2 linked regions of the Rattus norvegicus genome follow. The protein of the gene in region 2 interacts with the protein of the main gene of each other region in a biochemical or structural test. Links are inferred from orthologs where the notes say so. Each region holds a gene or a part of one and is shown on either strand. Other genes may lie near its edges.

Evidence for each region.
Region 1: the proteins of Nmur1 (region 2) and Nmu form a complex in vitro, tested with the Homo sapiens proteins (2 studies listed by BioGRID). The link is inferred for Rattus norvegicus from reciprocal best matches to the Homo sapiens genes NMUR1 and NMU.

What each region holds. Positions count from the first base shown.
Region 1 is NC_086032.1:32,195,690-32,203,051, forward strand, and holds the start of Nmu (neuromedin-U precursor), read left to right. Parts: upstream 1-3,253; 5' UTR 3,254-3,365; coding exon 3,366-3,483; intron 3,484-7,362.
Region 2 is NC_086027.1:94,480,248-94,487,469, reverse strand, and holds Nmur1 (neuromedin-U receptor 1), read left to right. Parts: upstream 1-2,816; 5' UTR 2,817-2,847; coding exon 2,848-2,850; intron 2,851-4,219; coding exon 4,220-5,075; intron 5,076-5,409; coding exon 5,410-5,789; 3' UTR 5,790-6,232; downstream 6,233-7,222. UniProt on the Homo sapiens protein: Receptor for the neuromedin-U and neuromedin-S neuropeptides.

The DNA.
Region 1 (7,362 bases), on a different chromosome or scaffold from region 2:
AGAACAGTAGCGGGGGTGGCTCTGGACTCTCACACGGGCCTCTCACGTGCCACGGTTCTCTGTCACAGCTGCGACATACATTGGATGAAACTGAAAATCACTCCACTGGGGGAATGGCTTTGAATAGCATGGCTTATTATTTCTGGAAAGTGCTTAAAGTGACTATTAACAGTAATTACCAAAAGGAAGCAAAGCCTCCCTCTTGCAAAAGATGTGATATTTCTCACAGTTCTGTGCCTTGCTGTCTCACCAACATTAATTATCCTACCGTGGGAATTCTTAAACAGCAATGGCCTACTTGGCTTGCATGCCTCCCTGTCTCCAATTCGTTGTGCTTTCATAGTTTGGTTTTACTTTGGTTTACTGTTTCCTGAGACAGGGTCTGGCTAGTTTAGGGTCACGTTGGAATTCTTCTGCCTTAGCTTCCCAGGTGCTGATTGAGTGACAGATGTTTAGCCCCGCTCCCTGCTCTTTACCTCCTCCCCCTTTTTCTTTCCCATTTGTTCATTCAGTTGTCCTGTGCACTCAGTCTCTGGCTGACTGTTAGTGGCATGAGACAGTCTTGTTTGAAGTGGTGTCTCTGTTGTATAAAATACTGGCTTTGGTAGCCTTCTGGTAGCCTTCTGGTAGTCTTTCTCTTGAGGGAGTGGGGTGTGCGATTTCCAGTAAAGAAGAGTCCATCCAAAATTCTTCCAAGTTGGAAGCCTTGACTTTGGAAAGGAAGAGGTTAATAGCTAAAGAGTTAGAAGAGATAAAAATAAAACTACAATATACAGCAAGATTTGGATTCATATTAAAGTTGATAACATTTTAGTTCTAAGCTGCAAAGATTGCCCATATTCAGCCTGTCCTCATACTTAGTTCTGACTTCTTTCCTTGTTAGAAATTGAAATTATACACACACACACACACACACACACACACACACACACACACACACATATATATATATATATATATATATATATATATATATATATATAGAGAGAGAGAGAGAGAGAGAGAGAGAGAGAGACCTTCCATTTAAACATTTATTCCTGATCTTTGCTCCTAAGGAAATAAGGAACCTAACTGCCCTTTGTCTTAATTTCCATGTCTCAGAATGACATGACCTGAGAGGCTGTTTCCTTAAACACATCTCCAAAAACATAAACTCATATAAAGATAGCAAGAAGTCAGGAGGAAATGTCTGTTGAGTTTAAACCAATAAAGGTTCCACAAGGCTTAAAGTCTCCACTTAAGTCAGTGAGAACGAAAACCAATGAACCAAGTGAAGGAGTAGGCAAAAGAGGTCAGTGGAAGAAGAAACAATGGTGGACAATATGCTTTTCAAAAGATAGGCAGTCTCATTGGCAGACTAGGAACTTCGAAGTACATCCACGGTGAAGTGTCATGCCCTCTGGGCTGGCAGAGATTTTTCTCCATGGACTAGCAGCCCCTGAAACTTCATTCTCTGCTGATGGGAGTCTTAGTATAACCATTTGAAATACTATTTACAATAGAGGCTAACTAGGTCAGCCCCTTTGACTTAGTAATCCCACCCCCGGGTATACACCTCAGAAAACTCTCCCACACATGGACTGGGAACACATTCGAGAACATTCATAGCAGTCCAGCTCAAGTCGTGCATGTGTTTCCTTAGACATTCCTGACACTGAGGGGGGTGGTAAAGGCAATACTGGGCGGTCACGGGAAACCCACACACAGTGGCTGCCAAGACCTGTGATCTCTCAGAGACCTCTGGGAGAAATGAGGCCAGATAACTTTTCTGTCCCCTGACCCCCCTGACCCACCCTTAGGTCCCTTAGATCCAGTGTACCACTTGCATTAATCCATTTATTACTACTTTCGGAGTAAATCAAAAAGGGGAATTTTCAGCCAATACGTTCTCATTCATAATTTTGTCATCCTCGTGTGTTTCTTGTATAAAATTAACTTCAAAACAGTAACCAGTATTCTCTGATCTGCTCATGAGGGTTTCATTCCTACTATTCTCTGTATTTCCAATTAACAGCCTATTCTCCCTGGAATTGCACAGCAATTGGGCATGACTTGGGGGTAATTAACCAAAGATTAATTATCATTAGGGAAAGTTCCTTCTACTAAATGGTGATTCCCTCAGAAGACCTGCCTTGCTTATCGTGGGTCACTCATGCATGCCAGAGGCCAGGAAACCCCATTGAGGAAGAAACCTGTGCCCATGCTCCTTCCCGGGCTGAGTTTGACTGGGTTACTCACTTTGTTCGCTAGGTTGTTTTACAAAAGCTTTTCTTCTTTTCTTCCTTCCTTTTTTTCTTATTTAAATGAATTTTTACACTGCAGATATGTCATGAATATTAAATGAAACTGCGCGGGAAAGTCCGTGGTTGCATGACCCCAAAATGCCCCTTTAAAAAACAGCAATGTGCTTCCTTCCTGCCCTTTCCTCCGAGCTCCTCGCCTATCAGAAAGAGGTTAAACAAGATAAGTTGCACTTTTTTTTCTGCAGAAGGAAATTAGAATCGTATTTCTCAGTGTCCTCTTAAGTGTCCCGGAGTGTGGGAATAGCGGACGTGAGGTTGCGAAGGAAATGAGAGAGAAGAGCATCCTTCTGACAGAATGGCCACTTGAGCCTTGGGTGCCCCACAGACAGCCCCCACCTTCTAACCGCTGCAAGTGCACCCAAGCCCTGCTCTTTCCTGACCACCATTTTACTGCATCTCCAGGAATGGTTTTGGACTTTGCAGGTGTTTGGGGGTTTAGATGGCACCGTCTTCACCCACATTGTGGTGGAAGCACTATCACTCTGATGCCCTGGGCACTGTGCATTGAACGGAGCTCACCCAGAGAAGGAAAAGAGGGGTGCTTGGATAGCAGGGGGATTCCTGGCTAGAGGAGCTGCAGGCCGGGAGACTTGCACAAATGGGTTGGCTGGGTATACTGTGGTATCCCGGAGACACAGGAGAGAGTGTAGCCACCACTTAACCACCCTGATCTCAGGCTCTGGAGGCTGACATCCCCTCCGGCTCCCACCCAAGTTCCCCTTCCACAGGTGGGAGTGGACCGCCATGGTTTAATTTCATTCTCCAGCTCAGAGCCGAATGCGTGGTTCCCTGAGTCAGACACCCGGCCAGGGAGCGCGTGTCCTGCGGAGGCGGCAGCAGGTCCGGGTGACGCCAGGGAGCCAGGGGCGGCGAGGTCACGCGTGGAGACTACGCCAGCCTAGCCCACGTGTGCGCCGGATTTAAAAGTTGGTGGCGCGCGGAGATGGTCACTTTGGTGTCTGAGCTCAGCAAGAGGCGCTCGGGGGACGCTGAGGGACAGCTTTAACACCCGCACAACACAGGGTACCTGGTTCCCAGTCCAGAGCTGCTTGGAGGGCAGAGATGTCGCGAGCAGCTAATCGCCGCCCAGGGCTCTCCGCAGGACAATTGGCCGCTGCAACTGCATCTCCTCTCCTGTCACTGCTGCTGCTGCTCGCCTGCTGTGCGGACGCTTGCAGAGGTAAGGTGCAATCATCCTACCTCACAGGGCCCCTCAGGCTGCCGCTGCACTAGTTTCTCCCCGCTACCTTCCTTGTCTCTTCCCTGGGCTTCTAGAATCCACCTCCCACTGAAGCCAGGATCTGAACCAGGACTGCAGGCACAGCTGGCTGTGGAGGGCGCAGGGCAGGCTGTAGACGCCATAGCCGGAGTTTAAAAAAGATTAAAACACTTTCCCTTTCATTGCAGTTATCGGAGGGACTTATGGTTGAAACAAAAGTCTGCTGGTCCTCTTGCCAAGGCAAGATAAAGTTGTGCTGCGCTGCGCCTCCTGGGAGATCAGCTGTCGAGTTACAAAGAGGAGGGACACAGGCTTACAGGGTTTCAGGATTAGAGTTCTCATCACAGAAAGTTAGAGTGAGCTTGCAAGGTTTATCTGGGTTTCCGGAGATGGGCGCTTAAGGTGGCAAGGCAGGTGGGATCCGATGACAACAGGGACCTCCCGAATGTGGCTCCGAGGAAACAGGAAAAGCAAGACCAGGGCGAGAGGTCTCAAGCACGGATGAGTGGCAGAGCAAAATGTGTCCCTTGGTTCTGTAAAGAACGTTTAGTTACCAGGTAACCTGGGGGGCTGTCATTCATTCCTGCCTTCTGAAGGTCCTTGAAATCCCAAACACTGCCTTGTTACAAACGGAATTCTCCAGGTGCTGCTTATTTTTCAGAGGCGTTGAAGATTTAAATATCACGGCCGCAGAGCACTGTGGGAGCTCATGGATGAGCCCTCAATTAGAGCTGGGCAGAGAGGACGAGTATTCTTTTCCTGGCCCGTCTTTGTTGCCTTCATTTCAGTATTTAACTTCTGTTCCTGAGACATTGAAGGGGAACAGGCTCCCTCACCTGAAAGCCAGTTCAAGTAGGACAGCAGCAGGGACAGTATGAGAGCTCATCTGATAAAGGTACCCTACTACCAAGCACAAAGACCGAAGTTCAAGGCTGGGTTTGGTGGAGTACGCCTTTAATGCCAGCACTAGGGAGGATGAGGCAGATGAAGCTCTGTGAGTTCCAGGCCAGCCTGGTCTACAAAGTGAGTCCAGGACAGCAGAGGCTACACAGAGGAACCCTGTCTCAGAGAGAGAGAGAGAGAGAGAGAGAGAGAGAAAGAGAGAGAGAGAGAGAGAGAGAGAGAGAGAGAGAGAGAATGAACGAACTTGAGTTCGATCCCCAGGACCCACAAATTGTCCTCTGAAATAAAGAAAAACCAATAGCAAAATGGCAGCCATGTGATAGCATATTATTCTTGTGCAGTAGTGGTTTACCATGATTTATGCAAGCTAAATTAGCCTTTTCTCTTTTAAATGCTTTATTAGAAACATTAGAATGATAATTTTATTTGCCTTCTTAAGAAAGGAAATAATTGTAAAGGTTATTTTTTTTGTTGTTTTTAAAGAATTCAGGCTTATTTAATACAGTGCAAAGAGATCAGCAGCCTGACAGCCTGGCAGTAGCAGATAAACTTTCTGTAGCCAGATAATCATAGTCTTTACTTGATTTATTTATTTGTTTGTTTATTTAAGATATATGGGCATTTTGTCTGCATGTATGTCTGTCTGTTACATGTGTACCTGGTGTCCAGAGAGGTCAGAAGAGGGTGTGGCCTCCCCTGGGACTAGAGTGACAGCTACCACAAGAGTTCTGAGAAGTAAACCCAGGCTCTTTAGAAGAACATACAGTGCTCTGAGCATTGACCCAGCCCTGATAACCACAGCTTTAAAACAATTGTTTTGTTGGGGTGGGGGGGGAAGCTATGCTTTCTACGCATGTTGCATGCAGAATGTGCTTGTGACGGCTTCTGCAGCTATCGGAATGACTGTCTTGGAGAGCTGGGTGGTCAGTTCCTAAAAAAAAAAAACAAAAAAACAAAAAAACAAAAAAACAAAAAAACAAAAACAAAACAAAACAAAACAAAACAGACGAGCCTTCAGTTTTATTCCCAAAAGAGCAAAACTGCTGACTGATCAACCGAGTCATAAGTAACCTTGATGTTATTCAAGCAAAAGGCTTCCTTCACTCTCAGGAAGCCCCCTGACTGCCGTTTTCTGTCTTTGTTCCCTTTCAGACATGAAAAAACAAATCTCATTTTTAAAAAAATGTAGTGAGGTGTGCTTGTGGGTGGGTGTCAATAGGCAGTGTAGTCTGCCTTAGTTCCAGATCATCTAAATGTGGGGTAGGGACATGCATGGCACACATAAGCAAAAGTTGGAGGTAATCTAACAAGAGCAATCAGTCTACATCTAAAAATGACAAGAACAAATGTCATAAAGCCAGAAGGAAACGAGTGTCAGTAAATGTATCATCCTTAGAAAAAAAAAAAAACAGAAACAAAAACAAACAAAACACCCACAAAAACCAAAACACGAGCAGAGTACAGGAGGGCAGAGATAATGAGATAGAGAAGCCAGTATGCTGGGTGGAAATGCCTCACTCAGAGAACATGTTTGAAGAGGGAAATTTCTCATAAAGACCGACAGAGTTTGGGTGTCCGCCAGTCACTTGATTATGCCTGCAGCCATAAGAGATCATGGCCAAGGCTGATTTAAAGCATGTCTTTCCTGCTAAGATCTTTCATTCATTGACTGATTGGAAACGTTCAGTGACTAGTAACTGATTTCTCAGATGCTAACCCTTCAGGGAAGTGTTTGGGAGAACACTGGTGCCACCTTTCCCATGATCAGGTCTGTTTTTTTACATAATGCTTAAGTAGAAATACCTTGACAGGGATGACCGGAGGCTTTCGTGTTAGTGATGTAGGGGTAAAGGGTGGTGTCGTTTTGGAAAATGTGGATGGTAGTACAAATGCTTGTTTCTTCAAGTGCCGTGTTAGGCTGGCATGCAAGGTGACCTGGGTTGAGTATGGCTTCCAACGCTTTGGGTCTTGCTTCCCAGTGTGTTAACACCAAGAGGTAATGAAACCTTGAGCAGCGGGGTTAGTGGGACATGGGTGGGAGACTGGGGACATGGCCCTCAGAAGGGATTAAAGGTGTTGCCTTGGAAGTCTGGTTCCTTGGAGAGTGGGTTGTTTAAGACTGAGATTGGCTCCTCCCTGATCTTGGGCTTTCTCTCTCATTACACAATTGCTCTAGCTGGTTCTCTATCCACCCCGAGGCCCTCGCCAAGGGTTGGAGCTTAAACTGGCAGTTTCCAAAACTGTGAACTAAATGAATCTCCTTTCTTTACAACTTACCCAGCAGAAACCAGAATACAGCAAGTGGCTTAACAGGAGCATTGTATCAACTCTAGTAGCCAGTCAGAAAAAGGGAGAACCGTGCTCCCTTTGTTGGGATTCAGTCTGATGACAGTGGGTTTCTATCAACTCTAGAGAACCATTTTGATTTGGGGGCTCATCAAACCCCAAGGCTGTGCTTCTGTGTTTTGCATAAGGGCCACTAAAGAGGCTCCACCCTCCCTTTAATTTTGATATTAGTGGTTAGAACTGTTCATCACAATGGCAATTTCAAAGTGGCTCATGGATACTTGAGTCAAACTCCTAAGGGTCTTGGTGGGGAAGTCTGACCCTTATGCCGGACAGCTGAGACGGAAGCTTCATTTTGTCCTGGGGTGGAGAAGGGTTAGGGACATAACACTGCGTTCTTTAAACAGAAATGCCAGGTTTGGAAAGGTTAGCTGAGTGGTTAAAGGCATTTGCCGCTCATACAGAGGACCTGGGTTCTGTCCCCAAGCAACTACATGGGATCTTGTAACTGTGACTCCAATTCCACGGGATTTGATGGCCTCCTTGGGCACAAGACATGAGCAGAGTGCATATGTCCACACGCAGACAAATACTCAGACATAGAAAATGAAGATAAGTAAGTCACAGAAATGCCTGTCAAACAGAATCTCA
Region 2 (7,222 bases):
GAACATCTGAGAAGAAATTTACTCTGTTCCTTGAAGGTTGGTGCTTTCCTGGGCTTCTCCTGAGCATTTTTGAAAAATGGTCTCATTTACCTCACAAACCTGTCAGGAAGAGCCCCCCTCCTCCCACAACTCAGCCACACACACACACCAAACAAACAAACAGACAGCACACCTATTAGATCCATGATGCCACCATGGCTATTCACCACTCCCTCCGACTTGGGTGTCTTTGATGACACCTTGAAGCCCCTGGGCAGCATCAACATCTATAGCCTTGCATGGCTGTTTGACTCTGGGCTATCTGATATCTGGAGACAGGATCCTATCTGGTAAGGCAACTGTTTTCTTCCACTCCAGAAGGCCAGAAGCCCCAGTCCCACGCACCCCATATGACTAGAGTACAGAGCCAGGATGGATTTTTATCTGGGCGTAATGTAAAAAATTAAAAGAGAAAATGAAGCACTAAGACACACACAGAAAATCCCTGTGAACAAACAAAGTCTGAGGCCTGGTCTGGGGGGAGGGTAGGGAGGAAGGAGTCATAGTAGGAAGGTAGGGGTGGGGTAAAGAGGTAATGATGAGAGTAAGGGGCTAGGAGAGGGGGTAGGGAGGTAGGGGTGGGATTTTATTCCAAAATCTGACCTGGATTGTAACTTTGGGCATTCATGTATCAGAAGATCCCAAAAGGGGCATTCAGGATGCATATGCCTGAGGTCTGCTGTATGTAGAGACTTAGACTCAAGGGTCAGCCATATTGCCCTGGATAAGTAGGTGCCAAGAGAGCCTTGTGGATAGCCTTTTAGAGCTGGCTCCAGGCCCAGAGTGCCATGAGATATAGTCCCAGGATCACAGAGATCCTGGCATTTTCTGTTTGCCCCAGTGTGAGATGCCAAATGTCCTCCCACTTCGAGTAGAGTTGAGCCTAGTGTACACACTGAGCCCCAAGAGAAGGAAAGGTCACACTTTCTGTCCCTCCAACTCCAGAGGGGTGCGGGTTTTGTTTTGTTCATTTGTTTAGTCGTGTGTTCTGTCCCGTCCCCCTTCCCCCTCCCTACCCATCTTTCAAGATATGGTTCTTTGTGTACTCTTGTCTGTCTTGGAACTCACTATGCAGACCAGGCTGCTGGCCTCAAACCTAGATATCTGCTTGCCTCTGCCTCCCGAGTGCTGGGGCTAAAGGTGTGCGCCAACACTGCCCTCTACCAGGCTTACTTGCCTTCTTTTATTCATAAGCAATTGGGAGCAGGAGAGGAGGTCAGCCTGGAGGCTGAGGTGGGTTCTACTTCAGACCTGAGCTAAGGAAGGCCCCCCCCGCCCCCCGCCCTGTGGTTCTCAGGAAGAGTTGGAGGGCTATGAGCTATGCACTCACTTCAGCTCCAGGAGCCCTACGCATGCACCAAGACTTGACATAGCCTGGTCTACACTGATAGCCACCGACCGCCATGCTCAAGAAATGGATATGCACCCACAAAATCCAAAGAGGCTGCCTTAGGGCTGAGTAGGTAGGAGCAGGTGCTACTGGTTCTGCGGAACACCCTGCCATGTGTTCTCAAGCTTGGATCCTGACCGGGACCCTGGGCAGAGTGTAAACAGAGGCTACTACCGTGAGAACTGAGGGGCCTTCTTTTCAGGGCTGTCCTTTAGCAGGATGGCTGAAGATGCTGAGTGAATGGCACAGCCAGCGCTAGGAATGTAATTTGGTGTGAGCCATCTGTCTTCTGTAGGTCATTCTATAGGGAACCATGTCATTCCCCATCCTTCATGGGGTCTGAACGTTTTCAAAAGGCTCACAGGGAGGTGTGGGGAGGGGGGTCTAGAGGTGGGAGCACAGTCAGAAGTGCTCCTTGAACTCTGGGAGGCCTTGGTGAGCTGGTTTTTGAGCCTTGCCATGACTGAACTAGTCCCGGTTGGTCCATCTGCAACTAAGTAGGAAGCTTTCAAAATTCTTTCTCCCAAGGGCTCTGAAGAACAAGTGCCCCTGAGTTCCCCACAATCTCCTTAGCCAGGACTATTTGTTTACAAATGAAGTTCTTAAGAAGCCAGGCATTGAGCGGGGCGGGGTAAAAGAGACATTGTCTTGAGTGAGGGGATGCTGGGAAGCTGACAGAACGTTGAAGACAGAAATGCAGACGGTGAGTGTCAGCTATGACCCCTGTCTAGGCTTTTGTGTTCTCTTTTGAGTGAAGAAGTGGGTCCCGACAATGCTCAGGAAAAGGACCGGTGTGGGAGGAGGTGCTGGAAGGAGAGAGGAGGGTGATTTCCTTGGAGGAGACTAGTGCCTGGACACGGGGTGGGTGGGTGAGGCGCTGGAAACCCCTAATGAGACTGTGGTATGGGGGTGAGGGGGATTGCTATCCTGTGAGTAAACAAGTGGAGTCACGGAGATGAGACTCTCTGGACTGCTGACTTTCAGGGGCTGAAAGGGTGCGTATAAGAAAGTGTCTGAAAATGTGGGTCAGAAAGAATTGCGGGACACAGAACAAGTCGCGCTCAAGTCAGCACGCTGCAGGTTGGCGGGGACAGCACGTTAGACCCAAGTCTCATGGACTTCCTCTCTCAGTGTCATTTTTTTCTCATCTGTAAAATGGGATTGTTGTCCAGAAAAAGGAGACATTCTCAGCTTCGGGTGAGTCCAACAGCTTCCTAATATGGTTTGAATGCAGGTAGGGTCTCTTGTGAATGGTCTTAAGTGCTCCAAGCTCCGGGGTCAGCATTGCCCCCTAGTGGCGATTTTGTGAACAGGCGGAGCAACGGGCAGGCAGGGAGGGCAGCTGCTGTCAGGTCGGCTTCAGTTCAGCATCTGTCGGTGGGAGCCAGGGCGCAGTCAGGACTTCCCCTGCAGAAGGCATGGTAGGTGAGCGGGATATGAGCCCTGACAGGCACGGCTCTCAGGGTGAGATGGGTGGAAACACTCTGTGGGGTACTTGGGGGTTGTTGGAGAGACCTCTCAGCCAGTCAGTTTATTTCTCTTTTTTCTGATGATTGTTGTCCCGGCCCTGCTGCCTGCTGACCCTTTCTCTAGGCACGGGGCACCTCTCTTGAACCTGGGCTGTCACCTGCCCACTCCCAGCTCCTCTCCTTGAGAGTTCCGAGTAGTGAGAACCCTAGGTACAAAGAATATAAAATAATTAAACTGGGAATGATTGAGGTGACAGAAAACAGAACCAAATTTGGGTCAAAGTACAGTTTTTAACTCCTTCACTTAACCCCTACGGTGGCTTTCTCTTCAGCCCAAGGTCATGCACACCTTTCTGCATGTCAGGTCTGCCCTGTGTCAATGGTTTTTGAGGATTAAATACCTGGACCTTTCCACCTGGAGTTGGGAAGGTCAGGTCTGCCCTGGCAGTTACTTTAGGAATCCTGGCTCTTCAAAGACCAAGCAATACTGCTGTTGCACCCACACCAAGTGGCTGTCCTGAAGTCTATCTTGAAAGGGAAACACCTGAAGGAGATAGCCAAGCCTGTTCTTGGAAAAAACTGTCGTTTATTCAAAGGTTTCAGGAGCTCCTGATATTCTCAGCAAAGGTCCAATCTTAACATTTAAAAATTTGTGTGTGTGTGTGTGTGTGCGTGCGCGCACGCAATTGTGTATAGAGGCTAGAGGATAACTCTTTTCGTTGTTTTTTTTATTGTTTTGGGTTTGTTGTTGTTGAAGACACGGTCTCTCTCCCTCTGTAGTCCTTGATGTCCTGGGACTTGCTCTGTAGCCTAGGCTAGCCTCAAACTCACAGAGACCTGCCTGCCTATGCTTCCCGAGTGTTGGGATTAAAACTGTGCACCACCACCGCCCAGACAATTTTTTTAAAGATTTTATTTTATTATATATAAGTACACTGTAGCTGTCCTCAGACATACGAGAGGAGGACATCAGATCCCATTACAGGTGGTTGTGAGCCACCATGTGGTTGCTAGGATTTGAACTCAGGACCTCTAGAAGAGCAGTTCATGCTCTTAACCACTGAGTCATTTCTCCAGCCCCCAATTTTATTATTTTTAAAGTTTGCACTTCGAGTACTTTGCAGTTGAAATGCACTTTATAGAGGGTGGCAGATGCTTTTCTTTCTCAGTGGCATGTGACTTATCAGCCCTCTACCAGGTGGCACTTTCAGTTGACATGACTTAGGACAGAGCTGGGATTACCTAAGTGACTTCTGGGCTTCTTCTCCCCTCTATTCTACATGCTCCTCCCTGCCTCAATTGTTCCTTCTTTCCTGGACAGCTCTCCCCAAATGCTTCAACAGGCCTCTTGTCCTGCAATGACAGTGAGTTCAAGGAGCACTTTGACCTTGAGGACCTGAACCTTACTCATGAGGACCTGAGGCTGAAGTACTTGGGGCCACAGCAGGTAAAACAATTTTTGCCCATCTGTGTCACGTACCTGTTGATCTTCGTAGTGGGCACTCTGGGCAACGGGTTGACCTGCACCGTCATCCTGCGCCAGAAGGCAATGCACACGCCCACCAACTTCTACCTCTTCAGTCTCGCGGTGTCCGATTTGCTGGTGCTCCTGGTGGGCTTGCCCCTGGAACTTTATGAGATGCAGCACAATTACCCATTCCAGCTGGGTGCAGGTGGCTGTTACTTCCGGATACTGCTTTTGGAGACTGTCTGCCTGGCTTCAGTGCTCAATGTCACAGCCCTAAGTGTGGAGCGTTATGTGGCCGTGGTGCACCCACTCCAAGCCAAGTCTGTGATGACACGGACCCATGTGCGCCGCATGTTGGGAGCCATCTGGGTCTTCGCTATTCTCTTCTCTCTGCCCAACACCAGCTTACATGGCCTCAGTCCACTCTATGTACCCTGCCGGGGGCCGGTGCCCGATTCAGTTACGTGTACGCTGGTGCGTCCCCAGTTCTTCTACAAGTTGGTAATACAGACGACCATACTGCTCTTCTTCTGTCTGCCCATGGTCACCATCAGTGTGCTGTACCTGCTCATTGGGCTGAGGCTGCGGAGGGAGAGGATATTGCTCCAAGAGGAGGTCAAGGGCAGGATATCTGCAGCAGCCAGGCAGGCCTCCCACAGAAGTATTCAGCTTCGAGATAGGGAACGCAGACAGGTGACCAAGATGCTAAGTAAGTGCCACTGTTAAGGAGGAAGCTCCACTGAGCTAACTCCCAGTCTGGGGAAGGAATTGAGCTTCCAGGGGGTTTTGTTTGTTTGCCTGTTATTTTGCTTTTGTTTTTCTGAGAAGGGGTTTCTTTGTGTGGCTCTGGCTGTCCTGGAACTCGCTATGTAGACCAGGCTGACTTTGAACTCAGCGATTCACCTGCCTCTGCCTCCAAAGTGCTGGGATTACTACCACCTGGCTCTCCTGCCTGCTTTTCAAGGATGGGAGGATGGTGAGCTGGAGAAGCAAACTCTAAACAGGACACAGATCAGATCGGGCTCTCTTCTCTGTTTTTGCAGTTGCTCTGGTTATAGTATTTGGCACCTGCTGGGTTCCATTCCATGCTGACCGTCTCATGTGGAGTATGGTGTCCCATTGGACTGACGGCCTGCGCCTGGCCTTCCAGTCTGTGCACCTTGCTTCTGGTGTCTTCTTGTACCTCGGCTCAGCGGCTAACCCGGTGCTCTACAACCTCATGTCCACTCGCTTCCGAGAGTCCTTCCGGGAAACCCTGGGCCTTGGGACACGGTGCTGTCATCGCCACCAACCGCGTCACGACTCCCATAGCCACCTTAGGTTGACCACAGTCAGCACCCTGTGTGACAGGAACAGCAGGGATGTACCCCTGGCTGAGAACAGGGATCCAGGGTGTGAGCAAGAGACAGACCCTCCTGAATAAAATCCTGTGGCCTCACCCACAGGGCCAGAGGGCCTCAGACACTCCGGGGGCTACTGGGATAAGCTTAGAAAGGGATTTCTGCCCTGCCACATATTTGAGTGTTGAGGGAAACAGCAAGAAAAAGAGAATTGAACCCCAGTTGCCAAAGACTTGCGTTAAAGGCCTGAAAAGGTGACTCTGCAGTTAAGAAAGCTTGTAGCTCATCCAGAGGACCCGAGTTCAGGTCCCAGCACCCACATGGCAGCTTACAACCACCTGTAACTTCAGCGCTAGGCCCTCTGACACTCTCTCTTGGCTTCTGAAGGCATCTACCACATGCACATGGCACATAGCACACACCCATATATTAAAAAGACCCGGGATTGGGGATTTAGCTCAGTGGTAGAGTGCTTGCCTAACAAGCGCAAGGCCCTGGGTTCGGTCCCCAGCTCTGAAAAAAAAAAGAAAAGAAAAAAGAAAAACCCACATTGATGGGCTCAGTGGTTAAGAGCACTGACTGCTCTTCCAGAGGTCCTGAGTTCAAATCCCAGCAACCACATGATAGCTCACAACCATCTGTAACGAGATCTGAAGCCCTCTTCTGGTGTGTCTGAAGACAGCTACAGTGTACGTATATATAATAAATACATACATAAATAAATCTTAAAAAAAAAAGACCCACATTGAACCAGATATATGCTGTATGTTCCTCCAAACCCATCACAGTTACATAGGGCTTAGCCATTATTCCCCCGGGGATCCCTCTTTCCTCTCAAGCTCATACATGTTTCCATTGGAAACCTACCTGTCATTCTAGTAGTTTCTGAACTTCCATAGGCTCTCCAGCCCTTGCACTATACTTAAGACGGTCTTCCCACCATGACCTTTCCTGGCACTCCTTCTGCACTGAGATCTGGGCCTGATCAAGCTGCCAGGTGGGCAGGGGTTCCAGGGGACCTGAATGTGATCTCTGCCTTTGTCACCATGTTGCTTTGTGGCAACAAGAAAATCACCCTGGCTCTCTAAGAGGCCTTGGTTCCTTGCTCGCCCATGTCACCTTCTGAAGGAACCTTGCTGTGTCGTCTGTGTGTACCACAATGGCTTCGGCTTATCTGCATCACTCCCAGACCCCACTTTCTCTCTGACCTTCTCATGGTCCTGCTCCAAGCTGTCAAGGGCAGGTCCTTTGCTTGTCCTGAAACAGACAGGGCCAACCTATGAGCAGTGCACTCCTGGCAGCCCGCAGACAGGCTGACCTGGCTGCCCCGGTGAACACATGCTAGATCCTGTTAGCCAGGGGATATATCTGGAAGAAGTAGCAGCTACCGTGAGGACCAGAAGTGGCTGTGCAGAGACGGTGTGTTGGTTAATCTGTGTCAGCTTGACAGAAACTAGAGTCACCTGAGAGAAGGAACATCAGCTGAGGATTTACATCTATCATACTGACCCGTGGA